Linked DNA regions of Oreochromis niloticus. The protein of the gene in region 3 interacts with the protein of the main gene of each other region in a pairwise test. Links are inferred from orthologs where the notes say so. Each region holds a gene or a part of one and is shown on either strand. Other genes may lie near its edges. The genes, in order: pias2, imp3, ccndbp1 and ilf2.

Region 1 (6,998 bases), on a different chromosome or scaffold from region 3:
AGCACCGACGTTTGTTTCTCATGAATGAAATCCTGTTATTGTTAATCTGCATGTTCGCATTGAATCATTACACCCGTATCAGTGAGCCGGTTACAGCTCAGAGGCCAGCTTTGTTACTCCGGGTAAAACTTCCAACACACAGCCTCCTGTAACAGCAGTCATTCAGCGGAGTGTGCGTTTAAAGGCAGAAACGATAATCACGGAAACAAACGTAGGTTAACGCGGACCTTACGCAATATGCTACGACCACTACACAAAACGAAAGTAGCATTTAGTGTGTGTCGCCTTCAGGCCGCATTACTGGAAGTGTAACGCTGCGCTGTAGTTCACCCACACCCACTTCCTAATGGCGAACTTCAAAGTCTGATTAAGTTGAAGTGTAGCTAGCTGAGATCTGGGGATAGCAACTTAGCTGATTAGCAAACGTCTTATGCCGTGGAAATTGACACGATCTTGGGCTGCCCACTGCCGGATTGACTCCCTCTGTCACACAACTCAAGTGTTTCCGACGTTCAAACTGTAGATAAGAGACTTGAATGAGGTTTTTGGCAGCCCCGGGCAGGATCCCTGTAGATCCTCCGGCCTGATTTGCGACTGCTTAGTTGCCTAACGTTAATATTTGGTCGGCTAGGTGGTCAATGCTGACCTCTTGTTTCTGTTGAGCCTACAGCTACAGCTGGACACTGACGGTCACTTAGTGCAAATATACTCTGTAACGTGAACACGAGCCAAAGGACGGACGCGTGCACTAACCGTCAATACGTCCTTAAACATTAGAAACGATCAAAAAGAACGGCAACGACAGATTTACCTTGGCCAGCCTCCTGCTCGCCGCCATCTTGAAACTACTGTGTGTTCCCAGAATTCACTGCGCTGGGAATATGGGTCTGTTCCTGCGCTGAGGCTGATCAGGTTGGACATCCGCCTGTTTGTGAACATCCCGACGTGTCCACGACAGGAAGCGATGTGTTTAAATGCGGAATATCTGTAATTATATACGTTACAAACATGTTGGGCTGTGAGCCGGAGCCGCAGGAGGAGACCTGAACTCAGCTGTGTCCGCTTCACACGAGTTTTATTTTTTATTATTAATGCAGGTGTTCGCATGTGGACACCTGAAAACGCACCATGAGTTACACCTGTATGAGTCTGCTTGTTTAACCCTCAGCTCTGCTGTCAGTCTGTTGTAAATGGCTCATTCAACAGTCATGTGGATGGCAGAGAGCAAAAAGGTTTTCCATGTGCTTGCGTAATACTTTCAACAATAAAGTTTTATTTGAGTTCATGTTTCTACTTTAATATCATGTGTAAATTCATGTCCTCCCTGCACTTTCATTCTAAAGCGTGCCTCCACCTGCTCCATATGAACATCTGTGAATCTGTCCATCAGCACTGCAAACAAGTAGGAGCTCAGAGCACGTTTCTGATTTGGCCCCCCACTCTGAGCCCTCTGTCACTCCCACTGCACACATGGATGTGCTGCACCACCCTGCTGTAGAATGACCATCGTCTCTCTCAGTACAGGATGATGTAGCTCTGCAGGTCATCCTTGTACCTGAAAATTGAAAAGCAGTAGTCCACCTTCAGTTTGAATATTCAGACTGCATCGTCGCGCCTTATTTATAAACATATGTAGACTGTGTTATTAGAAATTATTAATTAACTTTAGTCTGATGGCATTTTGCTAGTTACCAGCTGAGCAGCTGATGTACTTTATTATCTGAGTTTGTTAAAGTTTTCTAATCAGATCACAGCTCTGGATCCTGGTGGCATTGAGTCTGTCAATATGCCTGTAAATGGATATAGATGGATTTATGCTGTTTATGTGGTTGTAAATTCTGTTTCACTGTTACACTTTGCTGTGACAGCACTGAGAGAGCAGGACAGAGAGGGTGAGAAAGAGACAGAGCGAAAAACAGGGCAAGATCTGACACGTAGTGAAAAATAATACACACCAGGGAAGCTTCTGTTTCACTGATGATGATTTTATAGAACTGATCAGTGTGTGTGGACCACAAACCTGCTCTTATAGAAAGTATTATAGATTATGTTGATCGTCTGCAGTGCCACAGCGTGTGGAGTGACAATGGTGACCCAAACACAGACGACCAGACGCAAAACTAGATTTTGACAAATGTATGTCATTCATTATGGCCGATAACAAAACATTAACCAAAAAAGAAACTCCTTTCTTTCCCTAAAACTACAGACATGAAACCTGGAACAGTCAGAAATACCTGGACACTTGCATCAACACAGGACTGAGGACGGCAGGAAGAAGAAGGTCTGCAAATGTGCACGTTAGGAGGAAAATCATCAAGGATTTCTTCGTTATTTGGTCAACAGATTGAAATGATGCTGTGATTCTCTTCTTACTGCTCTGCTGTAAGCCTACTGTGGAGAGTTCTGGTGAACACGACCGAGCTTTGGTTTGGTAACTAACGAGTCTTCACTCTGAATCATTCCTAACACTACATTAGGTCATACATGGCTTTTAAAAGTAACATTGTCATGTGTACCCAATGAGGTTTGCAAACATGAAACGTGTAAGCATATTCAGTATGTCTGACATTATGACTGTGGGAGAGTCCTCTTACAAGTAGACATGACCCCGCATGTTAAACAGTAAGGTTGAGAAGTCCACTGCTCCCTCTCAGACATCTCCATACCTCCACAGGTGTGTCACCTGGACCAGCTGCCTTTCCACTCCTCATCCTCTTCATAGCTGCCCTTCCCTCCTCCTTCCTAAGTCACTTCCTGACTCACTCACTGTCCTCCATCTGTGCTCCTCGATCTCTCATTTTCTGCACACTCCCATCACCTGTTAGCACATCTCCATTCCTGTCCCTAATTATCTCCAGCTGCTGCAAATCCTTTTCAGCTCCATCTGTCAGCGTGTAGCCACTCGGCACTGTTCTTTCCCTCCTTCTTCACATACAGCTCACTATAAGGCTTTTCCTTTGCCTGTCTTTCCTGTTCGCCTAGTTTCCCAGTACTCCTGACTGTTTTTTGCACCTCCTGTCCCACTTTTATTTGCCAATCTCTTTGGTAATCTCTTCCTTTTAATATTTTCTGCACTTCCTCATCCCTCCACCAAGTCTCTGCCTCTTTCCTCTGGAGGATACACCCATCACCTTCATGACAGGTTCCTTCAGCCTATAGCTGTACTGTCCCAGTCATGTTTGCTGCCACTCGGAGCCTGTCTCAGCTCTGCCCTGAAATCTGTGCAGCATCTTCATTTCCTACCATTGCATCTGTCTGTGAAGGTTCTCAGTCATCCAGGTCATCGTAGTCTAAGGAGCTTGGAAAGAAAAGCGTCTGGACTTCTTTGAGTTGCTTGAAGACGTTTCACCTCTCAGCTTCTTCACACCTTGGCTCAGGTGATTAGAGGATCATCAGGGGGGTCCTTTGTCCCTCTTTGGGGGGAAACTCCCACTGGGTTTAAATCTGGGACTCTCGGCCATTGACCCTTAGAACTGAAGAAGCTTCTCGGGTGAGAGGTGAAACGTCTTCAAGCAACTTAAAGAAGTCCAGACGCTTTTCTTTCCAAGCTCCTTAGACTACCATTGCATCCTTGCTTCTGCCTTCACTTGATTTCTTGATTTCTAAAGTCGTCCTCCAGCCTACCATCCAATGCTGCTCCAGCTGTCACTCTACGCCCCGCCCTTGAAACACGCCCACAACACAAAATCACGGCCTAAAGATCCGAAACTGATAAAAAAAAAGAAGAAAAATTAAAGTTGTAAAAAAACAACAACACAAAACAGATTCGCACGAAAACAGATAATTTATTCAAAATAATTCATCTGTTTGTTTGTTTTTTGTTTTACTTTTTAAATATCAAAAACAGATGGAAATCACTTTTCCAGATGAATAAAGCTTTGGATCCCAATTTAGCTCCATAGCAATGCGCCACATTTGACACGGCAGCAGTACCCACACAGGCTGTACCCACGGCAGGCTGTACCCAGTCTGTCCCAGGGGCCCACAGTGGGACCCATATGAGCTCTGTGGTACATCCTGCTTCGGTGGCCTTAAAGAGCTCTGTCTCACTCTCTTAATCTATATAAATTAGCGAGGATTTGACACGTGCTGTGGGACCATTTCCTAACACATGTTAAACAACAGCAGTTTTCAGACTCGCGTGGTTGTCGTGACACGGCTTCACTGTGAGTTTCCTTGTAGCTGCTGTAAAGTGAACCGCACTGTAGCTTCACCTGGAAGTGATCACACTGACCGGAACAACAAGATGGCGAGGACTGTGGTGTTTCGGGTAGGCGAAAACAAAACACAACCTGTCACTCGTGTTGACGTTGAAGCTTGTAACGAAGAAAACAGCTGATGTGTGTTTGGGTGAGCGATGGGCGAGGTGGGCGCCCACAGGCAGGGATGAGCGTAGTCACGGGGATCGTGGACGTTTCACTATGTAGCCCTGATGCTAACACAGGCTAGCCAGTCACTGCTAGCTCCCAACAAACAGCTGTTATTATAACTGAATGCCTCTAAAGTCCGCACACGGTCTTAATGCACGTACGTGTTGTATGTGGCAGACATCATGAGTGTGAGGTATGGTGTAATAAACATAATAAATAGTTTCTGTGGGAAACTTAAACCAAACTGCTAATCGAAAAAACTACATGCACCCGATTAGCCAAAAGTTATCGCGAGGCTGTGAGTTAAACACGATGTATACAAACATGTTAAAACATCCGTTTTTTTATTTTATTAGTAACGAGATTACAGAAACTCTGTTTTCATGTCGTGTTAAATATTCCTGACCCAGCGCTCAGCCACCGCGTCTGTATGTGATCATCACACTGTCGTGGGTTCACTCACCGTGGACGTGACACTGAAACAAGATCCCAGATCAGATAAAGGACAAAGGAAAAACTAAGATGGACACTTGGCCGTGCTGTGTTGTTGTGTATCATGTGTGTATGTTGTGTTGTAGAATCAGTTGTGTTTGTTTTCTCCGTCTGTGACTTTCATTCAGAGCGACAAACATTTAAACGTGTCTGGTTTTTAAAAGTTCAAATGGATTCATTAAAAACACAATGAAATACACGATTGAAGTACTTTTGTTTCGCTCTAGTTTTCAGTTCAAACATATAACAAATCCACATTGTAATAATAAACTTTGACATTTGTCATCTTGCAAATTAAATCCTCAAAGTTAAACTTCATCAAATCCGTTTAATTCAGTCAGATAGTTTGAGTTTTGTCAAACACACCAACACTGTATCTGTCATAAATGTTGCCATCAGAGTTAGTCTGTGACTATATGAGGTCAAGTTTGAAATTATTCCTGATGATACAGCAGCTGTGATAAATCACTATAACATGTTGTTGTCACGTAGAGACAAATTCATATGAAGATATTACTGCTTATTACTGCTGTGAAGCCTTCTTATAACCAGAGCAGCTGGCAGCCTGCTCAGTCGAATCCCTTTGAGTTGTCCTTGTTGATAAAGACTCATTCTTTGGAAATCTGCCTGCATTTATAAATTAGACCTTTAACCTTTAACAACCTGTTTGAGTGACACAGTCAGTCTAAGCAGGTGTGTCCACAAAGGTTGCCTCAGGTGAGATGGGCCCGCTCATTTAGTAGTCAAAGTCAGCTTTATTGTCAAAGATCATATGTACAGTTGTACACAGGAATTTGGAATTGCAGTGCTCCCATGGCCCCCAGTGTACACTAAACATACAAAGATAGAAAAGGAAATAAAAACAAAATAAAATAAAATAAAAAATCTTATGTACAACACAATACAATACTACACAATTATTTAAACAGCGGTGTCCCACACAATCATAGTGATTGTGGGCAAGTTCGTGTGCAGTGGGAGTGGGGCAGTCAATGAAAGGGTGATGGTGGTGGGTCAGAGTTTGTGTGTTTGGGGGGGGGGGGGGGGGCTCAGAGGGAAGAGGTGGATGCAGGTCTGGAGATCATGTGTGAGAGCAGGGAGTGAATTCAGCATCCTATTGACCTGTGGCCTGTCTGTATCGATGGAGTTAGTGTTGCCACACAAAATATCACGTGACCTTACTTTAAAAGAAAAAAAAAGGCTGGTAGGGTATTGTTGTCATCCCATCGGGTGGGCGGGACACCAAAGTGTGTGAATGGAAGACCTACAGAATGAAGCGACGTAGCATTTTCATTTTGTACCATAAGTGTATCTACTCAACATCTTGTAATGAGTTCCGACCTCGGTGACCTCGACCTAAAGGTCAGAGTACGTTATCTGGGACTCTTGGGAATGTGATAACTTGAGGACGAGGTGATGTAGGATGTTTTAAAGTTGATACCATAGATTTGAGGGGAGACACTGATGGATTCCAGTAGATTTTGTAAGAATGTGTTTTAAACGGGAGACTAGATGAAGGATGATCAGCATGTTTAACAAACAGAAAAAAGACAATTACTGTGTGGATGTCACCTGCCTCTAGGGATGGGAAACGAGGATTCCTTGGAATCGTTAGTCTGTCTGCCTATAGATCCCAGTTATCAGTTCTTGCACCCTCGCTACGATCAGCTGATTTCAGTTTGTGTGTTGGAGGAGGAACACAGCAGCACAGTCTGCAGCGCGGACATGACTTTTATTTTTGTTGCACAAAAGGATGAGAGCATAAAGTGGAGACTGCTCCAGGACAGAATCACACTGTTAACACAACTTCAGCTCTTTGCAAACAACTGATGAGCAGTCAGGCTGCAGGTTTCTACCTGATCATGTTTCTGCAGTAGAATCACTTTGAAGTGTCTTTGTGCTGGTTTCCTCTTTGACTTGTGCTCATACATAAACACTCAGAGAAAGATCACGTGTGTCCTCATCAGGATAGGACCTGTGTTGGTGTGTGGGGCTGTAGCCTCAGCTTATATTGTTAAACTGTGATTATGAGACAGTGTTCAGATCATTTTACAGAGTAACATGAAAGTAATGTTATGAGTAGTATATATGAGATTTGTTATATCCTGATCAGCTCCCGTCCCTCTGCTGTGG
Region 2 (7,733 bases), on a different chromosome or scaffold from region 3:
ATGCCATCGGGAGTGTGAAGAGGACCATCAGTTAAGAAAGTGGATGGATGGACGTGAATAAGCAAGGGCACAGATGACACTACCTAAAAAAAGAAGAAGTTTGAATATACTTGGAGAGAGTTGGCAGAGTGTGCTGGGTGTAGACGCTGCAGTCTGTAAGGAGGGCACTCACACACAATGACGCACACAGAAACAGAGAGGGACTGTGCAGTCGTGCCCCTCTGCTAAGCACAGCTCCTACATAAAGAGGACACTGTGCTGAAAACACCGCACCTCTTTTTCTGTCACCACTTCATGGTCTTCATCTTGCCTAGTTGTACATCCCTTTTTAAAAAATTAATAGATTTTTTTTTTTTTTTTACTAAATTGCTGTTCAAATACAGCACATATAAATGCTTTACAGCATAAAAGAGTCACAAGTTTGTTTGAGATGATGTCATGAATCTGTAAGAACAAGAAGAAACTGTAAACTGTGTGTGAGTCAGATTCAATGTGCATAATTGTCTGAAGATAGTGGAGATACAGAGACCTCGCTGTTAACAGGGATTAACTAATAATCATGCTGTGCAAACAGTCCACCTGAGCCGATCCCACACTTTCACCTTGTGAGAAAATGAGCACGATTCCTCAGTTCCTCCTACTACTTAAGGTGGGCTGACTCTTTGAGTCTTAAAGTGACATCACTGCATACGTTACATCTTTTAAAAGTTATGCCCTCTGTTTGGAAGAAGGTTTTTAAATTTGGGGCCATGTGGGTGATGTGATGAAGGCAAGTGGACGATGCCTTAATTTGGAAATAAAAGATAAAAGAATGAAGACTGTTTCTCTTCAGACGTCCCAGATGCCAGAGTCAGGAGACGGGTTAGTAATTGTCTCATCACTGTCAGCTTAAGGTTCACAGGTGCATAATTCACTCATGTATAAAATCCTTCCTAATTTTAACTGAATTATTTGTTTAAATTTTAGGACTTTACAATTTGCTGTGCTTTTTCATCTTTAAGCCACAAACCTCTGACCAGTTTAGACGAGAAATGATTTGTAGTTTTTATAAATGACATCTGTGACAGCTGCCATCAAATGTTATTAGAAGTCCGGTGCCAGTGTAGATAAGTAGTGCACAGCTATGTCATTAACCAGGGCAGATGCAGGCTAGGGTTTTCCAGCTGGTCGCTTAACAGTTTCAGCAGTGGTTGACCGACATGTTCCTCTCCTGCACTAAATCTGCACTTGTCTTGCTGGAGGACAGATTTCCAATAACAAGACAAAGGAAAGGTGACAGCTGTTTCCGAAATGTTCCCCATTACTTTTTACTGTTAGACTGTGTCTGTGAAGGACCAGTCACAGCGTGTTAATCCTCAGTCTCTTCCACTGTTGTCTCTTGCATTTCTGCAACTTATTAAGGATGTTGTGTTCGAGGCAGAAGTCAATTTCTAGCTCAAGGACACTGCAGCAGCCTTGCTCAGCGTGTAAGGACGCTCTCTGTGAGTCCTTATGTTTGTGTGAACAAACTGAATGAACCTTTCAGTTCACTCTTCGTTTTTTCATTTTCTTCCTGTCCATCCTAAAAGGCTCCTTCACTGTCTCTCTGCAGAGTCAAACATTCCTCCACAATGGCGCTTTCCTCCGGGCTAAAATACGTGTCTCTGGGGGTTCTGGTGCTGCAAACCACCCTGCTGGTTCTCACCATGCGCTACTCCCGTACCCTGAAGGAGGACGGTCCTCGCTACCTCGCCTCCTCTGCCGTGGTGTCAGCTGAAGTGCTCAAGATTTTTACATGCACTCTCCTCGTCTTCAGCGAGAACAGTGAGTAAGGAGGAAAATCAGTTTTGGACCCTACTTGGGTAGAAAATCCTATATACCTGCTCCCCAGGCTCGTTAATAAACTTCACAGGTGGTCCTCAGGTTGAATTACTGACAGTGCTCTCTCTGTTTCTCTCAGATTTCAGCTTGAGGGCAATGTATGAGCTGCTGAACGAGGAGATTCTGAACAAGCCTGTGGAGCTCGTGAAGCTGGCCATTCCTGCAGGGATCTACACTCTGCAGAACAATCTGCTCTATGTTGCCCTGTCCAACCTGGACGCAGCCACCTATCAGGTTACATACAAATGAATGGATGTGCTTGTTCAGGCTCACTGAGTTTGTGTGTGTGAACTGGTTTCTTTATGGTTTCACTTGGCTGGTGTGTGTTGGTGTACATTTCTGAATTCACGATGTACAGTGGATATCCTGGTAAATATTTACCCAAATCTATCTCATAAAATAATCTCTAAAACAACAGATGTCTTCTGTTCTCATCTCATAAGGCTTGTTTGATTAATTTAAGTGGTACTAAAGCTATACCCTCTGCTATATTCTGTAAATATTAAAGGGGAAAATGCTAGTTTTTGAGCCTAGAACATCATGGAGTTGAAGTTTTGGAACACTGGAAAAAATCATAAAATATATCAAATATTTTTGTTTAAATTAAAGCTTCAAATCCTTCATTTTTAAAATGATATTTTTATAAATAACATTTATAATTGGATGAGAACAAACTCTATAGTGATCTAAAATAACAATAAACAAAAAAACATACTTTGGAAAACAATTCAAACTGACTGAAGCTGTTTTTATGAACTTGGAAAATTAATATAAAATTTAAAAAAAAAATACTAGCCGGCAAAAAGGCCATGTTCACTTTTCCTCTTTGTCACAAAGTAACCATTTTCAAATGAACACCAAGATTTATACGTTCATAACATCCAGTTCCAGTTTCTGTCCTTTTTCACACATACTCAGGTCTTTACAGAAATGAATAACACAATAACATTTGATCAGCATTTCTTAAGTAGAATTGTGAGACTATTATTACCTTATATAGTAGATAGTACCCATTTGTCCTTAAGCGCTAAAAAACCTGAAGAAGAAAGTAAATAAGAGGCACTTGGGAACATTTAAGACCATCCTTTTAACAGCGGCTCAGTGACACGAAATCTTGCAAATGAAGCTGTCCCAACAGGAATGAAGCACAACAAGTTCGGAGTGCAAACACCGTGTCCTCTTATCTATCACAGATAAGATTCTTAGAAATGGCTTTTCTCTTCCATGTTTAACCCTTGTGTGGTGTTTGTATTTTTGTTACTCAGCCAGTGTTCATAGGTCTGGTGGACCCGCTAGACTTTTGGCTTTCCAATTAACACTATCAAACAATTTTATGTTAAATTACTCAACAGATGTTTACTTCATCCCAATTACGAGCCATGTGAACAGCAAACATGGTTAATTTTTTCCCTTTACCTTTGTTCAATCACATTTATGAATTAATGTGCTTCTCTTTTTTTTAATAAAATGTTATAGAAAAAAAATAAAATCAGTTATAATCAAGTGTACATATCTTTATACCATATTTTGCAGGTTTTGATGGTATATACTGCCTAAAGGGGCAGCAGCCTCTAAATGGCATGGTTCTCACAGACCCGAACACCATACAAGGGTTAAAACAGATCTGTCCTGACCCCGGCACAATGGGCTGCTGAATGAAAGGCATCAAAGTACAGATGAGGAAATAGAATACAATAGATGTTCCAAAAGAACGAGAAGTAACTGAAAAGAAGATTTCTGGATATGACTGCATTTCCTGTAACTGTGGCATTTCTATACTACCCATTAATATGTGTTAAATAATAAATAAATAAAGTTTGTCTTTGTAACACTCTGAAAAACATTTGAAGAGCACAATAAAAGACAGGAAAATATGATTGTAGCATAAAATATAATTTTGGCCACAGTCAAAATTAAAAAGTAAGAGTGTAAATAACAAGAAAAATTAAAAATGGCAGAGAAGAAATTAAAAGCAACAGGGTGTTATTTAAGAAAAATGAGGAGCATAGGTAGCAGCTCAATGTGATCAACATTGATCAACTCTACTGTAATTCAGACGGGAGCCAGGCCAGCCTGTGGCTCAGATATAACTACCAGTAGCTTTATATCAATTTTTATGTGCTGTAGCGAGGATGGGAGTAATCCATCATTTACTTAAAGCATCACTTGTGTTTTTTGTGTCCAACAGGTCACGTACCAGTTGAAGATCCTCACCACAGCTCTGTTCTCTGTCTCCATGCTCGGGAAAGAGTTGGGCTGCTACCAGTGGCTCTCCCTGCTCTTCCTCATGGCCGGGATCACTCTGGTGCAGGTAACAGCGCTCGCCGTCACCACAATTATTACTAATGTTTCATTTCTACCTTTCTAATGTTGTTTTTGTGAAGTGAGTCTCAGTGTATTTACTAATCATGTGTTTTGATAAAAGCCTATGCCTTTGCACACACTCATCAGTGTTTCAACCTCCACAGTGGCCCGTCGAGTCTCTGGGCGACTCTGAACAGAATGTAATGTCTGCAGGCTCGCAGTTTGTGGGCCTGATGGCCGTGCTGATGGCCTGTGTGTCCAGTGGTTTTGCTGGAGTTTACTTTGAGAAGATCCTCAAAGAGGCAAGCCAGGGTCTGTGGCTTCGTAATATACAGCTGGGTGAGTGGCTATACCTCCTTTTGTATGACAGACTGAGCGAGGAATGTATGGTTTCTTACAAACAAAAGTTTCCTCAGGATGTTATGCAGTTCCTATGAAAAAGTACACAAGGTAATTTAACAGCTTGCAGAACCACCTTTAACAGTAAGAACTTGTAGCACTCGTTTTCTTAATTACTTTATTAGTCTCTCACATTGTTGTAGAGGAATTTTCACTCTGTCTTACAGTGTAGCTTAAGTTCATCGAAGTTTGCAGACAGTCATTCGTGCACAACTCCTGCAGCACTTCAGGCAGGTTGAGGTCTGGATTTCTTTTATTTTTCAGATGTTCTGTTGTAGATTTGCTGCTGTGCTAGGGATTGTTTAGCTGTCAGACAGATGGGGTTGCATTTGACTCTAGAATACTGCGATATGTAGAGGAGTTCATGACTACGATGTATCCAACAATAACATGTCTCTAAATAAAACTAAAGAGAGACTATAATATGAACTTTTGAAATGGCCTGGCAATGCTGTTAAATTCAGTACAAAATTAAATAAGAGCTGTATGCATGCAAAATGGCGCAACATGCAAGACTTCTCTGAATCTAATTTAACATAATTTAACTGTTGAAATTCAGTCAGGGAAAATTTCATTTTATACCAGGGGTTTCTACAGAGTTCGGACAGCATTTCGTTTACAAGCCTCAGGCTCCATTGGTGACTTAATGTCCTAACAGAAGGACATGTTCAGCAATAACAATAAGTCTAAATAACTGGGTCACGTTTAAACACTGCGCTAATCTGTAGCAGAAAGACAATGTGTTCCTCCTTTGTTGTGTAGCCATATATGTATATATATATATATATATGGCTACAGATTATTTCCTTTTGTTCTTTTTGCCTTATATTGCTCAGTAGTTAAAACACCACCTTTGTCTTATTTGTCCCAGCAAGGACCTGACCTTTATCACTTTTTCTTGTCTCTTTCAGGTTTGTTTAGCTTTGTGTTTGGCTTCATAGGCATGATGGTGTATGATGGCGAAAGTGTCAAGCAGGCGGGGATTTTCCAGGGATACAACATTATTACCTGCATAGTTGTTGTCTTACAGGTTGTGCAATGGTGTTTCACTACAGTGCATCATTTGACTTCCATGAGTTTTATGGCAGCATTTGTGGAGTTGTTCATGTCTGCCTTTGTGTTGTTTGCATGTCGTCAGGCTCTCGGCGGGCTGATCGTGGCTGTAGTCATTAAATATGCTGACAACATCCTCAAAGGATTTGCCGCCTCACTATCAATCATAGTGTCTACACTCATTTCGTATTTCCTGTTGAAGGACTTTAATCCCACAAGGTAAACACAAGCACGCTTATGCTTAATAATTTTTTTTTTTTCATTTGCTAACACTTTATGAGTGGAAAACATGGTATTCTTGTTTGTGTCTGTGTGTGTGTGTGTGGGGGGTGGGGTGAAAGGCTGAAATACATTTAGGTCCTTAACTTTTGGACAAAGACACTTTTTTTTCAGTTTTGCATCTGTCCACCGTCACAGACTATTTTAAAGAAAACAATTATGATTTAAAATCCACTGTGGTGGTGTAACGAGGCGTACTATTAAAAACTATCATTATCCAAAAACTCATGGACCCAACTGTGTGTCAGCAACTGACACTGATTAACAGGAAACCAGTTAAAACAGAATCCAGATGTCTTTTAACAGTCACCTGACTACACTGACCACCTTGACATTTGTGGATTTTCATCAGGTTTTGTGTTGATTAAAAAATAGTTCTTCCATCACAAATTCCAGTTTAGCCTTTGTGGTTTTAACTAACGATATCAGCTTTATTTTAATACTAATCAGCAAGTCTTTGCTTCCAAACATGTTAAACTGTGCAGTGAAAAGTTTTTGCCACCTTCTTGATTTGGTAGTTTTTTCCATATTTGTTATATTTAAATGTTTCAGATCATCAAACAAATTTTAGAATTAGAAAAGATAAGCCAAGTAAATAACTGGGTTAGTTATTATAACGTAATAAGCTGTTGTGCTGCCTTCGGCAGAAGCAATCTGCAAGAACTGCAAGACATGGTGACGCTGCATGAGCCGAGAAACCTTGAGCTTCAGGGCATAAACTGATGGCCGGATATTCTTCTTCGGGATTTTATAGTACAGAGCAGAATTCATGGTTCCATCAATTACAGCAAGTTGTCCAATTCCTGAAGCAGAAAAACAGCTCCCGAACATTACCACCACCATGTTTGACTGCTGGTATGAAATTCTTTAAGGAGATGCTGTGTAACAGGATGTAACAGGAATGGCCGGTGTCCTGCAAGTTTTAGATGTGTCCTTGATCCAACACAGCTGATTTAAATGGCTAAATTAATCCCTCAACATGTCTTGAAGTTCTCCAGAGGCCTGGTAATGAACTAATCATTAAAACCTGCAGGACATCAGCACTTGAGGCCTGGAGTTGTCTACCCCTGCTTTAGATGGTGTTCTAGGTTCATTTGTGCCCATTGATCACCTTGGAGTAATTTTGGCAGGTTAGCTGCTGCTGAGAAGATTCACCACTGTTACAAGTTTTCTCCATTTGTGGATAATGACTCTCACCGTGGTTCACTGAAGTCTTAAAGCCTTAGAAATAGCTTTGTAACCCCTTTCCAGACTGATAGATGTCAATGACTTTGCTTCTCACCGGGCTTTTTGAGATCTTTTAGCCTACTTCACTTTGTCAGACACCTTCAGTTTAAAGGATTTCACACTTCACAGGTGTGGCAGTAATCACGCCTGTGTGTGACTACTGAACCTGTCAGCTTTCCAAAAACAATTAGGTAAATCAGATTTAAGTCATGTCATAACAAGAAAGAAGTCACGAAGGGGACAACTGTTTCACTGCACTTGCTATCTTCTAATCGGCAACAATTGTTTTGAAAGGCAGTGTCATCAAAATCTTGGCAAAGCACACACTAGTATCGACAGTTGATAACTGTCATACACACAAGGGGCCTCAATTGTTGTGCTTCCAACCTAATGCATTTTCTTTTTCTCTGTCTCTCAGTGTATTTTTTCTAGGTGCAGTACTGGTTATTGCCGCCACATTTCTTTACGGCTATGAGCAGAAACCTGCCAGCAGCAGCACCAACAAAGTGTAATCAGAGACTTGCGTGAATTGTGGCTCTACGAACTGTGACCGGGAATTTCCTATATGAAAAATTTCATTACCGAAAAAGTAACAACAAGTTACTGGCAAA
Region 3 (7,868 bases):
TAATATATTTATTTTAGTGCTGAGTGCACTCACTGTGCTAAGTGTATTTATAATGTGATGGCTCATTAGAGCTCTGAAACTTTAAAGTGCATACATTTAAAGATTAAAGGTACTGTCCTATAAAGGAGACATGGAAAGGTAGTTTGTCAGCAGATTCAGGTGAAATTAATATGACTGATTGAACAGGTATTCTGTTCTGTGTTCAAGTAGCTACAACTGGAGCCGTGTGAAAGAGACAACAGCAGATTAAACAGACTGGAGGCTGTTAGCCTAAGTGAAGATAAGATGAGCTGCAAACAGGGGAAAACAGTTAACCAGGGTTTGCTAAAAGTGAGTGAGGTCTATCATTCCCAGCTAATCACATATGGACACCTGTGAAGTGCTCAGCAAATATGGTAGTTTAAGCAAAGACACAGTGATTTGGTAAACGCAACGATTTTAGTGCCTAAACCTAAAGAACAAGTGAATACAAAACAACTCTAGAAGAAAAGTGCTGTGTCCTCACTTGACATAGAGCTGACTTAAATTAGCCAGTTGGACAGTAATTCATTAATTAACAACTATGAAATAAAAACTACTCTTTTATTTCAAAGTAGAATATACTGAGTAGAAGAGCTACAGCCCCTACCAGCCTGTTGGCTGCAGTTAAGGTCAGGAAAATCAGTGTGTAGAATGTTTGAACTGCTTCCATCATGTATTCATTTTGCACCTTCTTCTTTTCAGCACAGTCCCACAACTTCCATTACATCTATGGATGCTATGAATCCGATGATGTGCGGGTGGACGCTGTTGTTGACGACGACGTGGTTGCATACGCCGATTTCAACAAGGAAGAGGTAGTGTGGGTGTTACCTCACTTGCCACAACCTGCAAAAGACTTCAAGAAAATGGCTTATGGAGTCGCCAAAGCCAGCACTGCACACTGTCACAGCGTTTTGGGTAAAGCAAAAAATGCTGATCCCGGTGCTCCCCTACGGCAAGGTACTGATCTTGGCACACTTCACTGCGAGCATTCGTTTAGCTCAGCCTGATCGAGGGGAAGAAAGAACACTGTTGATCCAACTGAAAGCAGATGTACCAGAAAGAATTAAGAGAGCACATACCGGGTTTAAAATATCTCTTTTCTGTGACTTACTTACACAAGCTGCTTTGAAACTAAGTGCTCCAGGCAGGTGCTAGACTGGTGGAGCCTTAATTACACAGCTAATCAGTGACCTTCTCTCTGGCTTGAAAAATATATTGAGACAGAATCACCTTTGAAAAGTAATTATATACTATTAAATTAGCTTGAAACTTGTGTTACAGTGGCCTTTCTAAACTACTCTAAGGCAGTCTCCTTCCATAAACTGAACTCTGAGATGAGTTCTGCTTCCACCAGCATTTTCTTAGAAATTATAGATAAGATGAACAAATGCAATATGTGTGGTGTCATTTCATGCGGCAAACTCACAGAGAATAGCTGCCTGACTCTGTAGACTGTTATTTTAGTGTTTGGAGTTTCTCTCAAATGAAAGTGCAGCATAGTTGATGATGATGAAAAACAAAGCTCAAAGAGGGTCAAGTGGCAATGAGAGAATATTCTGGAGGTCAGCACAGGTACAAATCATTTCTTTTCAATCCAGCCCATTATGTCTGTGAATTATAACCATGCACTGCTGGATATCTCATTCTGCTTCTTAGCACAGATTAAATTAAACTGTCAATAGAGCATTTTAGCTTTGTTATTACTCTGCTGACTGCACAACGTAATGTCTACAGAATAATGACACCATTAATGTTTAGATTGTTTCCATATAAGCTTTACTTTTGCTGTCTGTCTGCCATTGCGTATGAACTTTCCAGAGAAAAAGCAGTCTGTTCCCATCTTTATTTAGTACCTTTTTATATTTAGTACCTTTATTTACTTTACAAGTTAATTACACAATACATTTTTAAGGAATAAATGTCCAAAAAAACTGCCTGATGTAGCAAATATGACACAAGTGAAAACTCACATATGAAAATTAATATTTGTTTCTCATCAGGAGGCTCAATAAACACTCATAACATAATTTTCTGGCAATTATTTCATGGTTCAGCCTTGAAATTAATAAACATATCAATAAGGCCTCCTCACCTCAAAATTCTCATATATTTCTTTCTTTCTTTTTTTCGGTTGATTTGTAAGCAGAATATTCAGTTTTTCTTTCATCATATTTTTAAATCAGAAGTCTAGCTTATATTTTAATTTCTGAGTGCTTTTTGTGCCTAGTTTTAGTTGTTAGTTATGGTTTAGTTAGCTGCTATAACCTTGTGATGAACATGTAACCTGCAGAAAGATGATGACAGAGAAGCAACTCATTTAAAAATGCTACAGCCCCATTAGGAGCCCCTCTGGCTTCTACTGGCACATTTGCAGTTTTTTTATGGTAATAGTCTCGTTAAAATATTAGAATAACCTCCGGCACCAACAATGTTTGGCAAAATATAAATGCAATGCAAAAGAAAACACAATTTTCATTTTTTTAGATGTTTTAATGTCTCTGTCCATGTCTTTCATTTTATATCTGTGAGTTTGTTATATATTCTTACATCTATCAAGGTAATAGTTCTTGGGGGGGATTTTGCTCTAAAAGTATGAAATGTGTGACTCTTTGAGCAGATCCTCCTGACATCTACATCTATACCCGGTATGAGGGGGAGGCCAGTGTGATGAACACTCTCTTTTGTGTGGCCAACCACTTCTACCCACCCACCATCAACTTCACATGGACCAAGAATGGAGTGGAGCTCACAGAGGGTGTGGCAAACTTACGCTATCGTCACAATCGTGATGGGACATTCCACATGATTTCTACGCTTCTGTTCACTCCACAGCCTGGAGACCATTATATCTGCACGGTGGAGCATCAAGCTGCAAAAGTGCCTGTCAGCAAGAGCTGGGGTAGGATTATTACCTTATAATATAAAGTGCCTGAAGTAACTGTTGTTGTGATTTGGCACTTCATAAATAAAATTGAATTAAACTGAACTGTTTTTATGAATAAGCCAAGGACTCTTGAGATTCTCCCCAGTAGACAATCAGGTGACGATACCAATTTTAGAACTTTCCTGCAATACCAATACTGTGTTAGATTACATTTTTCTTTTTACATGTAAGGTCTGCAACATTATCGCTTTCATACCGTCCTAGATTGGCAACTAAAGTAAAGCTGTTTGAAGCAAAAAGTAGCCTCCTAACGTTCATGTTCTGTGAATTGGGGAACCCTCCATCTACTGTCTGATGACTTATATTTAATTTATGCTTCCTTTTGTCACCCTTTTAAACAGTTGCACATGTCAAAAATGATATCACAATTCACTGGATTTGTATTGTGATATGGTTTTTGTAAACCTGGCTCTTGGTTGGAGGCATGGATCTATGAGAGGGTTCGGTCATGTTAATGCTGGAGCTCAGAAATATCCAGCTTAGAGAGAGGGAGGAGGTACAACAGTTTCAAAAAATAAGGAATCCTGGAGAAAATTTTAAAACATACAAAAAAAAACAAACTCTGTGATTTTTTCATTTGACTTTTTCTATTCACACACCAGTGCTGATGCAGAGTTGCAGCACTTACAACTACAGGAGAAAACTACAATGAGTCCAAGCGTGCCTCAAGCAAAAAATATGTTTGGCTTTGGTTGCTGACATGTGCAACATGCCAATATTAGGGGCTTTTGGGCTAGCTAGAGGATATCCAGGAAAAGATTTCCTGTTCTCTGTGCTGGTAACTGTTGACAAATGTAGATACATTTTTAAAGGCTAAAGAAAAACTGAGTAGCTTTCATGTGAAAGCCAGTGTTTTCTTGACTGAACCTTAATCCTTTTTTCACACCTTTACCTGCATACAACCAAACCCTGTTCGAATGCAGTTTAGAAACATTAAAAGCTTTGCTAACAGATTCTTTGCAGTATTGCACAGATATCTGTTTATCATGATAAATGTTTTCTTGACCTATACATCCGCCCCCACAATGCCCCCTTTGCAGACTCTATATTAAAAAAAAAGTCATCTGGCTTCCTATGTTTACCTTAAATAACAGCAGTCATAGAATTATTACAAGAAGGCCTTTTTAGACATAAACAGATGCAGTTTTCAGTCATTTTCAAACTACACAAATAAAAGATGTTTTTTTTTTTTTTCAGAGTTGAAGGAAAACAAGATGAGCAGAGTGAGCCCTGAAGCCGTGTTTTTCGGTGTGAGTGTCGTTTTGTGCCTGATAGGATTCGGGACCGGAGTCTTCTTTTTCATCAAGCAGCCAAATGAATGTCTTCAAATTTGAGATTGAGTTTATTAAATTAACTTTAATCATTCAGTCTTTAATCCCCTGATTAATTGGTTTTATATGTGCAAGCAAAACCCATCAAAAAACATAAAAATCCAGTATCTTGTGCTTACAGATAACTTCTTTATATCACTGCATTAATAGTGAATGACAGTTTGTTTACTTAATGTGTTTAATGTGTACTTACAATTTGTATTGTTTTTCACTTGATGATGTGGTGTTAATATACTTTGATTTTTAATAAAGAGATCATTACTGGGGTTGTTATATGATCAACGGTGTATGCCTTTATAACACGCAGACCTACAAAAGAATTTGTGTAGAATAATTCCTCCCTGCTGAGGATTTATAGATAAATAAAGCAAAAATCTTGCACAACTGTGAACTAAAGAGTTGTGACGTCTTTGTTTGTTTGGTTTGAGGCAGGTATGCGCGCTTGTTTAATAGTTTTTGAAGACTAGCTCGTTGGCGCCCTCTGCTGCGCTCCTGGCTGAATGGCAGCCGGGTCAGCAGGAACGTCCGGCGGCGCCGTTGTTTCGTTTATTTTTGTCCCTCTATCAACGGGCTCCCCTTATGTAGTTCCACAACACGCATGTAACACGATCCACAAACTCTGGCGACATGAGTGCTGATAGTTGTGGTGGAAAAGTAGCTTTACGGAATCTGGTTAACTCCATCAACTGCATCCGAGACCGAGTCAGAGGTAACTGTGCCACATTATCTGTCTGTGTTGTCACAAATGAAACTGCTTAACCATAAAAGCTTATGTCAAGCTAGCTAAACGTGCTAATATATGTGCTAACATTGGTATAAACTTTCTTCATGTTAACTGTTGTAGATTTACGAGTTTAACTGTTTGTTAAACTCGATTCGTGTGTTTAGCAGCAGTTAACGACTTTGACGTCTGTTTGTTAGCAGACAAAGACGGGGATTTAGCTAATTTAACATACAGCGATAAAGACATTTGGCACTTTATTACGTGACCCAGCTACATTTAACTGCTAATTCCTGTTCGCTTTTATTCAGGTTTTTATTCCCAGGTTTTGTAGAAAATGGAGGTTGGGGCTTTTTGTCTTGCTTTTTCAGTTATTTCATGTTGTCCTCATCTTCACTGACCTAAATGGGACATTAGACCTCAGTGTTACTCGGTATTTTCATGAGTCAGTTTTGTGAACAAAAACAACTGATTGTGCAGGATATAACAATACTTAAAGGTTTGCTTTTACAAAAGAGTGTAAAGCTGAAATACGAAAAAGATAAAGTGGACAATATCAGACATTTTAATACGAAAAAAAATGTTTATCAAGACAAACATACAAACAGGAACTAAAGCGCCACTCAGCCCTAAGTGGCCCTTCAGTTACTGCCAAAAATCCAAAACGACTACTGTGTTGTCGTCATCAAAATATTCAGACATTTCATTATGTCCAAAATAGTGGCTAGCTAATTGTAGTTGATGGGAGGTTTTGGTCTTCCGTCTGAAGAAAACCTAGTATATAAAAGCCCAAATATGTTTTGTTTTTTTTGTCCAGAAATGACACAGAAATGCACTGAGTTCTGTTAACACTTGAGAAGATGAGTCTGATCAAAACTGACACCTTTAACCCAAGAAACCCTTAAATGTTAAAGATTGTAAGAAAGAAATAATTTTTTTGTGCCATGGAGCTGTCTTCAAATCCTATTTTCTGACCGCTTATCCATTTTACAGTGATTTTAAACAGCAAATAGAAGCTAATTCTCCTATTTCAGAAATTGAAATTAGATTATTTAAAGATTAAATTATTGTAATTTAAATTCCTTGAAATTGCAAGGAGTAAGGGTAGTGAAGGTTAGAGGAGTTTAAATGCCTGGGGGTCAACCATCCAAAGCAACAGACAGTGCACAAGAAGAGATTGCAAGCAGGCTGGAGACGAGGTGTCAGGGGTGATTTTTTTTTTTTTTTTGAGAGAGAGGGATAGCAGCAAGAGTGAAAGGGGAGGTTTACAAGATCGTAGTTTGATCTGCTATGATGTATGGATTGGAGACAGTGGGACTAAAGTGGGCAAAAACAGGAGGTGGAGCTGGAGGTGGCAGAGTTTAAGAATTTCTTTGGAGTTATCAGCATGGACAAGATTAGAAATGAGTACATCAGATGGACAGGTCAGACTGAGCAGTTTGGAAACAAAGTTAGTGAGGCAAGGCAGAGATGCTTTGAACATGTGCAGAGGAGGGATATGGAATATCCTAGGCAAAGGGTGTTGTATATGGACCTGCCAGGCAGGAGAAAAGGATGAAGACCACAGAGAAGATTCATGGATGTAGTGAAGGAAGACATGCCAAGGTCTGGTATGACAGAAGAGCACGCAGGGACAGGATGAGATGGAGACAGATGATCCACTGAGCAGCCAAAAAAAGACGAATCCTCTGCAGTTTAGCTTAAGAACTAGAACCAAGAATTTAGAACTTTTTTTTTCTTCGCAGATGGAGAATCAAACGAGTCCGATGGAGCATTCAACCTCTCCAATTTCTGGGACACTTTGAGTTGAGTATCATGATCTCTTGCTGCTGTTTCAGCTCCTAGACTTTTGCATCGAACGTCCTTTGACAACTGGCTGATGTTCCTGTCTCGTTACAGTGAATGTTTTCTAAGAAATGTATTTGCATTGTTTTTATAATGTTTTTGCAATGACTTATTTGATATTAAAAAAAAAAAGAAAGAAAAAAAGCATTAGGAGAATTCCTTCCTTCATCGTCTTGTTGTTACATGATGCAACTGTCCTCGTGTCAGCAGATCAGGCAGTGAAGGCAGTGTCCCAGGAAGCCACTAAACTCAGCCTGGCCTTCTCCAAACCTCCTCTGCCATCACAGCAGGTCAGATTATTTCTGTAATCATGAAGGTTTCTCACTGAGCTGATAAACAGATTGTTTTGAAGTCTGGTATAGTGTAAAAATAAGAAATAATGATGATGATGATGTGAGCTGAACTCTTACTTAGAGCCATAAATTATTGTCATGTTTCTCAGGATCTTGAATTTCCACATAAACCTTCTAAAGACCAGCACATCATTTGTTTTCTGTCTGTTTTTCCTCCACAATCTCCAGGATGGAGAGAAGCTGGCAGATTCCATCATGAAGAGCATCCTCACACTGTCTACAGTGTATTACTGGCTACCTAAGAGCCAAGGTAAAACCCTGTGAACAGCAGAACAGTAATGTTGTATTCAGATGAGCGAGGTGAATACGTTGCACTGCATTCAGGTTTTTGGAGCATTTCACAATGCCAGAATATCACAATACACTAATCAGTCTAATCCAGACTCCAAAAGCCAGAGCAAGTGCCCGTCTGTGGGCTTATCCGTTTACTTCAGTCCGATGCGCTTCTGTGTTTACTACGGTAGTACTAACAAAAGTCTTCACTCACCCCCGAGTTATTTTGGAAAATTGGAACAACTTATTGAAATGTGCAATTATAGACGGCAATGCAGTTAATGAGGCATAAACAGTTTGTATAATTCTAACAAGCATCAAAGTCAATATTTGGTATGACCCCTTTTATTCTTTAGCACAGCCTAAACTCTCTTAGG
Region 4 (7,402 bases), on a different chromosome or scaffold from region 3:
CCTGCTTTTGGTGAGAGCATTAAGAATGACTTCCAGATTTCGATGCATAATCGGTGTGTGAGTGTATGCATGAATGTAATCTGTGCATAGGTTGAAGGTGCTATATGAACTTGCATGTGCATATATATATTTACAGATGTGAATGAGGCTTGTAGCGAAACACACTTTGAGTGCTCAGAGGAGAAAAGTGTGATATGTTTACAGCCTGCTGTTGGTACCTTTACTGATCTGGAATAAAAATCTGATTTATGATGGTCACATCAGATTTGAACCCCGAGGGTTTTCACCTCGTGCCCTTTAACCTTCTTATTTATTACCTACAGTATGCTGATACATACACTGACATTGGACTGCTCTCTTTGTGTCAGCAGGTGGCTGTAGTTGTGACAGAACCTGATTCAGAGCAGGTAGAGGACATCTCCACCCCACCCACTGAACCCCAGGTGGAGCCAATAGAAACCACAGAACCCTGAACTCAGCACACAGAGCTCACAGTGGTGTCATGTCAGTCACAAGAGACAGCTTACATCTGAGTGTCAACAGGGAAGCCATATTCCGTATGTTATGCGTTTGGAAAATAAATGTGAATGTTTAACAAGTTTCTGGCATGTTTGATCACAGCATCAGTGTTAGTGCTGCTGTCCCTACAGTATACTATGGTGTAGTTGTGAAATGGAACAGTTTTATTACTAATGTTGACATGGTAGCACTTTATAATAATGTCACACTATTAAGCCTTATTAAGGTATTAACAAGTGAGTAATTCATCATTTACACAGCATTACTGCGCCGTAGTATGCCATTTATACTTCTATCAATATCAAAACGCTACATGACTTAGTAGATTAATAAAGTTGTGAAATATAAAGAACAGAATTGGTCGATATTATAAAAGCAGCGATTTTAGCCCACTGTCAGTAATACTGTGTTCGACTGCCCCAGCACTCTCATCCTGCTTGTAACTCAGGGTTTCTCTCATCAGCTGCTGACGTGTAAGCCTCTTACTTACTTATGCACTGAAATGTTCTCCAATGAGAACTCAAAGAGAGAAATATCTCTAAAAATATAACGGTCATAATGCTGTTCTCATCATTGTTTATTGTTTTTGGCAAATTAGGGACAAAGATGAGGTTTTCATAAAATCCGAGCAGTTGGAACTCAAGTCGTTAAATCCACAGGACACATATGTGTATCTCCACAGTTATTTTAGCAGATCAAACCTATCTGACACTGCTTTCATGTATGGCTTCTTAGTCCTGTTGTCATTCTTTGTTCAAACCACTATAATATAGAATTAATTGTAAATGAATGTATGAAAACTTTAATCTCACTGAAAATAAAATTACTGCTGCACAGATAAATCGCTCTCTAAAGCTTAGCTTGAAATGTTGAATTGTTACTAATGATTTTTTTTTTTAGCACAAATCTGCTGAATCCAAAGCGGGGTTGTTCTGTCGAGTCTACAGATTGTATATTAATGGAATATTAACCACAGCCTTGTCTTTTTTTTCTATATAATTTTTAGATCATTGTGAATCTTCCTTAGCATGCACACATAAGGCCACATTCAATTCTGCTAAATAAAGTCAAGCTTTGTTTTAGCTTTGTGTGATTATGTGTAATTAATTTCATGTTTGTGCAGAGAGCTGAATGTTGCTTATGGTAAAAAAAACAAACAAGCTAGACAGTGAATAAAGTTCAGGTTAGCTAATGTAGTTTATGAGACTAGTGTCCATCATACTTTTGTGATATAATGTAACAATAATATGACCAACATTAAATTTATTGCATTAATATGTGGAATATAATTAAAAATTAGAAAATTAACTAAAAAGTGACATTTAACTCAGCACCTCAGTAAAGATTCAAGGTGCATTCAGTAATAATTTAGCAGTATTACTCAGAATAATCTGTAAACTGGGCCACATTAGTACAGCGTGAGCTTCGTTGTTACTTGATCCACACAAATATGGGAAAAAAAGTTTGCTATACCAAATATTATTTTATCTTCTCCACTACTACCTGCATTCCAAATATTGTACAGGTCTGTGGTTTATGTGCTTAAATAGCCGTGTATTTATGTGAAACCTGTCTGCCAACCCGAAATGATTACAGATCCATCCTGGCCCCCTCACTGACACCTTCCTGTGTTAGGATCCCTGGGTCATCGACCCAGTGGTTTGTGTTTTGGTTCTTTGAGTTTGTTACTTCATTATATTCTAGTTTTGCTTTTTGGGTTTTTGGATTATTCTTAGTTTGGGTTCTCTGGGTGGGTTCTGTTAGAGTTTTAGTGTTCTGGTTTTCTGTCTGTTATTCTGAGTTGCTGTCTCCCCTGTTTGCTGTATCCCCACGTCCAGTCAGTGTCTGTGTCTGCCCTGGTCCCACGTCTTTGTTCCCTTTGTTATAATGCCTGCCTGAGAGTCTGTGTTATGTTTCCTGTTTTACTTTGTAAGTCCATTTCTCATGTTAGTGTATCTGGTTTTGCTCTCCTTGTCTCGTTAGTCCTGATTTGCCCCAGCTGTGTTTCCCTCCTGTTGCCCATTCCCTGATTGCTCCCTCTGTGTACTTAAACCCTGTGTTTCTTTGAGTCAGTGTCGCGTCGTCCCTCATGCTGTGTGTATCTCCCTGTGGCTCCCTGTGTGTGTTTTGTTAGATTCTTTTCAGTTTAGGTTTTGTAGATTTTCTTTGTTCAGCAATAAAGCTGTTTTGAGTTCACCGTTTTGTCTCCGGAGTCTGCACCTTGGGTCCTATTCCTGTCTGCACACAGCCGTAACATGACATCCTGGCTCCGCCTTAGAAAACATTCATGCTTAGAAAACATTAGCATGAATTCTGTCTTACCTTTGCTGTCTTGCTTCCAAAACTTAAATCCAGCGCAATTAAATTGCATTAACTGAATAACTCCATTTCCCACAATGCCTCAGAGCAGGGACATTTCACTTGAGCAGCATCAGTCTTTGCACAGGTAATATCCATTCATGGTTTTTTGGAGTTTATTGTCTACTGCAGCATATTTTCAAAGGGGTGAAATGCTATAAAATACAAAACACATTTAGGCATTTTTCTGTGTTGAGTTACTTTGGCACAAAAGCCTCCACTGTAATATTTGCACCTCTGATGAAGTCTCACAGGTGTAAGCTTTATTTTGATAAGATTACTGCTTACACAGAGTTTGTAATTGAAACTCCATCTCATCTTTTCTTGTAATAACTTTACATATGAAAGTGATATTTGATATGTCACTTTACAAAGCTGCAAGAATGAACAATTTCTGCATACATTACAGAAAGTGAGCCAGACACAAAATATTCATTTGAAAAAAATATAAGTAAGTCGCAACAGAGGTTTTCAAAGGCTAAAAAGAATGAATATTTGAACATCTTCAGTTCCATGACAACTGGACAGCTCACTAAGGAACATTAAATGGTAAATGGACTGGTTATTATTTAGCACTTTCAACTCTGAGCTCTCAAAGTGCTTTTAATTTGCCTCATTCACACCAATTCATACATGTACTTTTTCTATATGTATATGTAAGTTCTGTTTATATAACATTCACACACATTCATACTCCAGTGGATGTGTCAGAGACGAACTTGGGGTCACTATCTTGCCCAAGGATATTTGACATGGATATTTGACACTGGAGTCACAACTGGTTGGAAGATACTAGCTTCAACTGATATACATGGAATGCATTCTCATGGATGTCAGCAATTTGAGGCACACAGCCACAGAGTTAATGATTTCTTCAATGAAAAGCAGTCCCAAGTAATGTGGTTTCTTTGACATGCATTTGAGAGGACTGTCCTTCGAGGAACCAGACTTTCTTGCCTTCCACATACTGTTGGGCTAGGGACCTCATCCAGTCAGTGAACTGGCGGTTTTGTTCTGCTGTGCGCTGGAGGAAAGCATAAGATTCTCCGGCAGTGGTTTAGGTGATGTTGGACTTGTCAGGTCACAAATTTTGAAGCCAACTTGAAAACCTTCTCCAGCCAATGATGTCCAGATCCTGCTTTTTAGATCCCATTATAATCAAAAAGATCCTCTAGAAAAGATTAAAATTCTGGAAACAGTTTATTAAACAGAGTCATATGAACAGCAAAACAGTACATCACATTACACAGAACAGCAAGACAACAGATCACAAAGCAAGCAAAGCAAACCTCAGGCTGTAGAGGCTGTAAGCACAGACAGGAAAAAGCTGGTGGGGGCACATCTGATGCTCCTTTATAAGGAGTCGAAACCTCTCCTAAACACCAATCAGTCCTTTTTGACAGTTTTAGGGCCAAAGTGAGGTCATGAAGTTTAAACTTAATTTGGCAGTTATGCTTGGATTTACATAATATTAGGTCTACATTGTTAGAATCCCAGCCGCAGTGAGATTCTAAAAATGTCCTGTGGAGGGCAGTATTGAGCTTAGTGTGCCGCCCATTGTAACAGAAGAAGTCGACGACTAACAGGCAGCACCGAGAAGCCGGTCCACAGAGGGACGTTCAACAATTCTCTGAGATTTTCCACGTACAATAATCAAAACGTCGTACGCAATGAGGTATCCGAGTGTAGCTCGTTGGGCAATGTGTTTTAAGTCGAGTACTATCAAGTCTTTGAATTCTTACCTCGTACCTGTGCTACAAGCTAGCTCTGAGTGCCTGATAGAGCCAGTTACTGCCTTCGTAATTTAAAGCCAGTGGCGTGTATTGTCTGAAAGCTCGCTGCTTTCCTTTTTTTCCTTCAATGAATCCAAACGTCCGAGCAGCGTGTAGCAGGAGCTTCCTCGGTGTAGGGAAGGCTACAATAGTAGACATATGTTAGCAACCATCCCGTTGGCTAATAGCTACCCTGCTGGAAAGCTAAATGAAACAAATGTGCTTTGGCTCAGTGAAGCAGCGCTGATGTAGTGCATTGGTTTCTCTACATTAAGTCATTACATCACAACATCATTACACGTTGGCTCAGTCGCCAAACGTGGTTTGTGCACGCACTAACGTCAGCTGTGTTGTGTTTGTGTCCAGAGGAGACCGCGGCAGAGGCCGAGGCGGCCGCTTCGGGGCCCGCGGAGGACTGGTCCAGGGGTGAGTTCACCAGCCCAGATGTGTTGGCTGATTTTCAGTAATGTCTTGGTTCGTCGTTCGAGCGCTAAGCCCCATTTACACGTTATGTAGGGAATATTACTCTCTTTGTGGTGCCAGGTGTTTTGTCCATAAAACACAGGTCACCACGACTTCATTCACAAAGTCCAGCTCGCTCCAAGGCCTCATAAATGTTGCTGGCAGTGTGAAGTGACAGTACCCATAAGGCTACACGGGTGTAAGCAAAACTCCGACATCTGTGGATGAAATAAATCATTTTTAGAAATTTCTCAATTTCCAATAAAAATTCACAAGTAATAAAATAACATTTGTTTTGCCGTGAATCAGCTTTTATCATTTAGCCGTGACAGTGCAACGAGGCGCTCTTTAAAGATCTCATGAACATTTGTTTTTATGATGATGTAACGTGTGAGCTATGAAAATCTGACTGCCAGCGTTCTGTCAGCACACTTTCATGTTTTGCTGTTAACCTAACTGCTTTTGTTCCCTACATAACACAATACATTTTTATAGTATAGTACCAGCTTAGAGTGCTGTAGTGCTGTAATGCTGAGGAATCAGAATCAGAATACTTTATTGATCCTTAGGGGAAATTATTATTTAGGGGAAAGAACCTGAACCGTAGACACTTTCAGGGACGACTCATAACCACCATAAAAGTACTGTGTGCGGCATTTATGTGCTTCACTGCAGCTGAACTCGTCTGGGTTCCTGTTTGCGTCTCTGCAGTCCCACATACTGTTGCTCCAACAGCACCAGTCAACACACACACGCTGTACTGTGCTCCTGTCCCTCTGCTTATTCCACTACAGAGAAGCAGACCTCAATGTGTCAGAATGTAAATGCTGAAATCACTATGCTTCATATTTTTGTGTCCTGTTCTCAGACAACAGAACAACTGTGAAATCTTGCCTTCAATGTTGTGCTTTAACACTGCCAACCCCGGTAACTGGAATGAAAACCACTAACACTGCTGTGTAACCACTGAAATACAGACCCTGGAACTGCAATGTTGTTTAACCAAATCTGACAAAACTTTATTTTTGTTTAGGTACCGGCCATTTGTCCCACACATTCCATTCGATTTTTATGTGGTAAGTATGTGTGGTGGTATGAATTAGAAACTTTTCACCAAATTACAAAGCAGCAAGACGTCAGCCAGCAGTCAGTGTATAATGAAAGTGTAGAGTGGTTCTAAAGGAGCAATGCAAGTACTCAAGCAGACTGTTGTTTGTCACAAGTGTGAGATGGCCTTCCCCAGAGTGAAGCCTGCACCTGATGAGACGGCTTTCAGTGAGTGTCTGCTGAAAAGGAACCAGGATCTGAGCCCCACCCCTGCAGAGCAGGTCAGTCCGTGAGCCTGCACTCATTCAGCAGTAATGGAACTGACCTGCTGTTTCATTTCACTTACACAAACCTTGTTCGTTGTCCGTCAGTCTTCCATCCTGTCCCTGGTCACAAAGATCAACAATGTGATCGACAACCTGATTGTTGCACCTGGCAACTTTGAAGTGGTGAGTCGAACATGAGTGAATGAGTCGTAATGGCTTCAGTGAAGTGCACACGCTGCTTGTGTCACTGGTGTGTGTGTCAGCTGTTCTCTCAGAGCTGAACTGAAACTCAAGACTGTTTAGAAACAACACTGAATCACTTGAATACAGTTAGAAGTATCCAGTAACAGTGCTTTGTGGACTATACAGCTTCATTTTCATTGGACAGATTTCATATTTATATTATAAGCTAATTAATAATAATGTCTTTCATGTCAGTAATCTTGTACTTGTCGACTTGTAGCAAATTGAAGAGGTGCGTCAGGTGGGTTCCTACAAGAAGGGCACCATGACGACAGGACATAATGTTGCTGACCTGGTCGTAATCCTCAAGATTCTCCCTACATGTGAGTAATATATGGCACAATTACACTGTCTAAAGAGAAGTTGCTGCTCCAGCACACATCATTTCTAAGCCTAAGAAGCTCGGAAAGAAAAGCATCTGGACTTCTTTAGGTTTCTTGAAGACGTTTCATCTGAGAAGCTTCTTCAGTTCTAAGAGAAATTGGCAGAGAGTCCCAGATTTTCCATGACGCTCCCAAATAAGGTTTCAAATCTGAGACTCTCCACCAATTTTTCTTAGAACTGAAGAAGCTTCAGAACCTAAAGAAGTCCAGACGCTTTTCTTTCCAAGCTCCTTAAACTACGATGACCTGGATGACTGAGAACCTTCACAGACATCATTTCTAAGCCTTTTTGATGCTGTACGTTGTGCTGCTTCTTGTCACTTGGATAATTTGGCAACTTGTTTGCAGTTAT

The links.
Region 1: the proteins of ccndbp1 (region 3) and pias2 interact in binary tests that used the Homo sapiens proteins (3 or more experiments, as listed by UniProt). The two-hybrid records come from large-scale screens. The link is inferred for Oreochromis niloticus from reciprocal best matches to the Homo sapiens genes CCNDBP1 and PIAS2.
Region 2: the proteins of ccndbp1 (region 3) and imp3 interact in binary tests that used the Homo sapiens proteins (3 or more experiments, as listed by UniProt). The two-hybrid records come from large-scale screens. The link is inferred for Oreochromis niloticus from reciprocal best matches to the Homo sapiens genes CCNDBP1 and IMP3.
Region 4: the proteins of ccndbp1 (region 3) and ilf2 interact in a two-hybrid assay, tested with the Homo sapiens proteins (2 studies listed by BioGRID and IntAct). The two-hybrid records come from large-scale screens. The link is inferred for Oreochromis niloticus from reciprocal best matches to the Homo sapiens genes CCNDBP1 and ILF2.

The regions. Positions count from the first base shown.
Region 1 is NC_031977.2:829,588-836,585, forward strand, and holds the start of pias2 (E3 SUMO-protein ligase PIAS2), read left to right. Parts: upstream 1-3,990; 5' UTR 3,991-4,273; intron 4,274-6,998. Other genes in the region: ube2l3b (ubiquitin-conjugating enzyme E2 L3b), read right to left, coding at 812-838. UniProt on the Homo sapiens protein: Functions as an E3-type small ubiquitin-like modifier (SUMO) ligase, stabilizing the interaction between UBE2I and the substrate, and as a SUMO-tethering factor.
Region 2 is NC_031982.2:10,387,024-10,394,756, forward strand, and holds the start of imp3 (U3 small nucleolar ribonucleoprotein IMP3), read right to left. Parts: upstream 3,001-7,733; 5' UTR 2,852-3,000; intron 2,095-2,851; coding exon of another isoform or gene 1,940-2,094; intron 1,808-1,939; exon of another isoform or gene 1,804-1,807; coding exon of another isoform or gene 1,611-1,803; exon of another isoform or gene 1,569-1,610; intron 1-1,568. Other genes in the region: slc35a3b (solute carrier family 35 member A3b), read left to right, coding at 1,611-1,803, 1,940-2,094, 4,049-4,171, 4,329-4,503, 5,475-5,835, 7,541-7,634. UniProt on the Homo sapiens protein: Component of the 60-80S U3 small nucleolar ribonucleoprotein (U3 snoRNP). Required for the early cleavages during pre-18S ribosomal RNA processing. Part of the small subunit (SSU) processome, first precursor of the small eukaryotic ribosomal subunit.
Region 3 is NC_031970.2:14,580,954-14,588,821, reverse strand, and holds the start of ccndbp1 (cyclin-D1-binding protein 1 homolog), read left to right. Parts: upstream 1-4,847; 5' UTR 4,848-4,926; coding exon 4,927-5,008; intron 5,009-6,765; coding exon 6,766-6,825; intron 6,826-7,075; coding exon 7,076-7,155; intron 7,156-7,386; coding exon 7,387-7,468; intron 7,469-7,868. Other genes in the region: H-2 class II histocompatibility antigen, A-U alpha chain, read left to right, coding at 724-981, 2,642-2,923, 4,166-4,302. UniProt on the Homo sapiens protein: May negatively regulate cell cycle progression. May act at least in part via inhibition of the cyclin-D1/CDK4 complex, thereby preventing phosphorylation of RB1 and blocking E2F-dependent transcription.
Region 4 is NC_031985.2:35,583,813-35,591,214, reverse strand, and holds the start of ilf2 (interleukin enhancer-binding factor 2 homolog), read left to right. Parts: upstream 1-4,395; 5' UTR 4,396-4,547; coding exon 4,548-4,552; intron 4,553-5,015; coding exon 5,016-5,075; intron 5,076-6,144; coding exon 6,145-6,187; intron 6,188-6,334; coding exon 6,335-6,439; intron 6,440-6,529; coding exon 6,530-6,607; intron 6,608-6,887; coding exon 6,888-6,990; intron 6,991-7,402. Other genes in the region: uncharacterized protein si:dkey-81h8.1, read left to right, coding at 369-473. UniProt on the Homo sapiens protein: Chromatin-interacting protein that forms a stable heterodimer with interleukin enhancer-binding factor 3/ILF3 and plays a role in several biological processes including transcription, innate immunity or cell growth.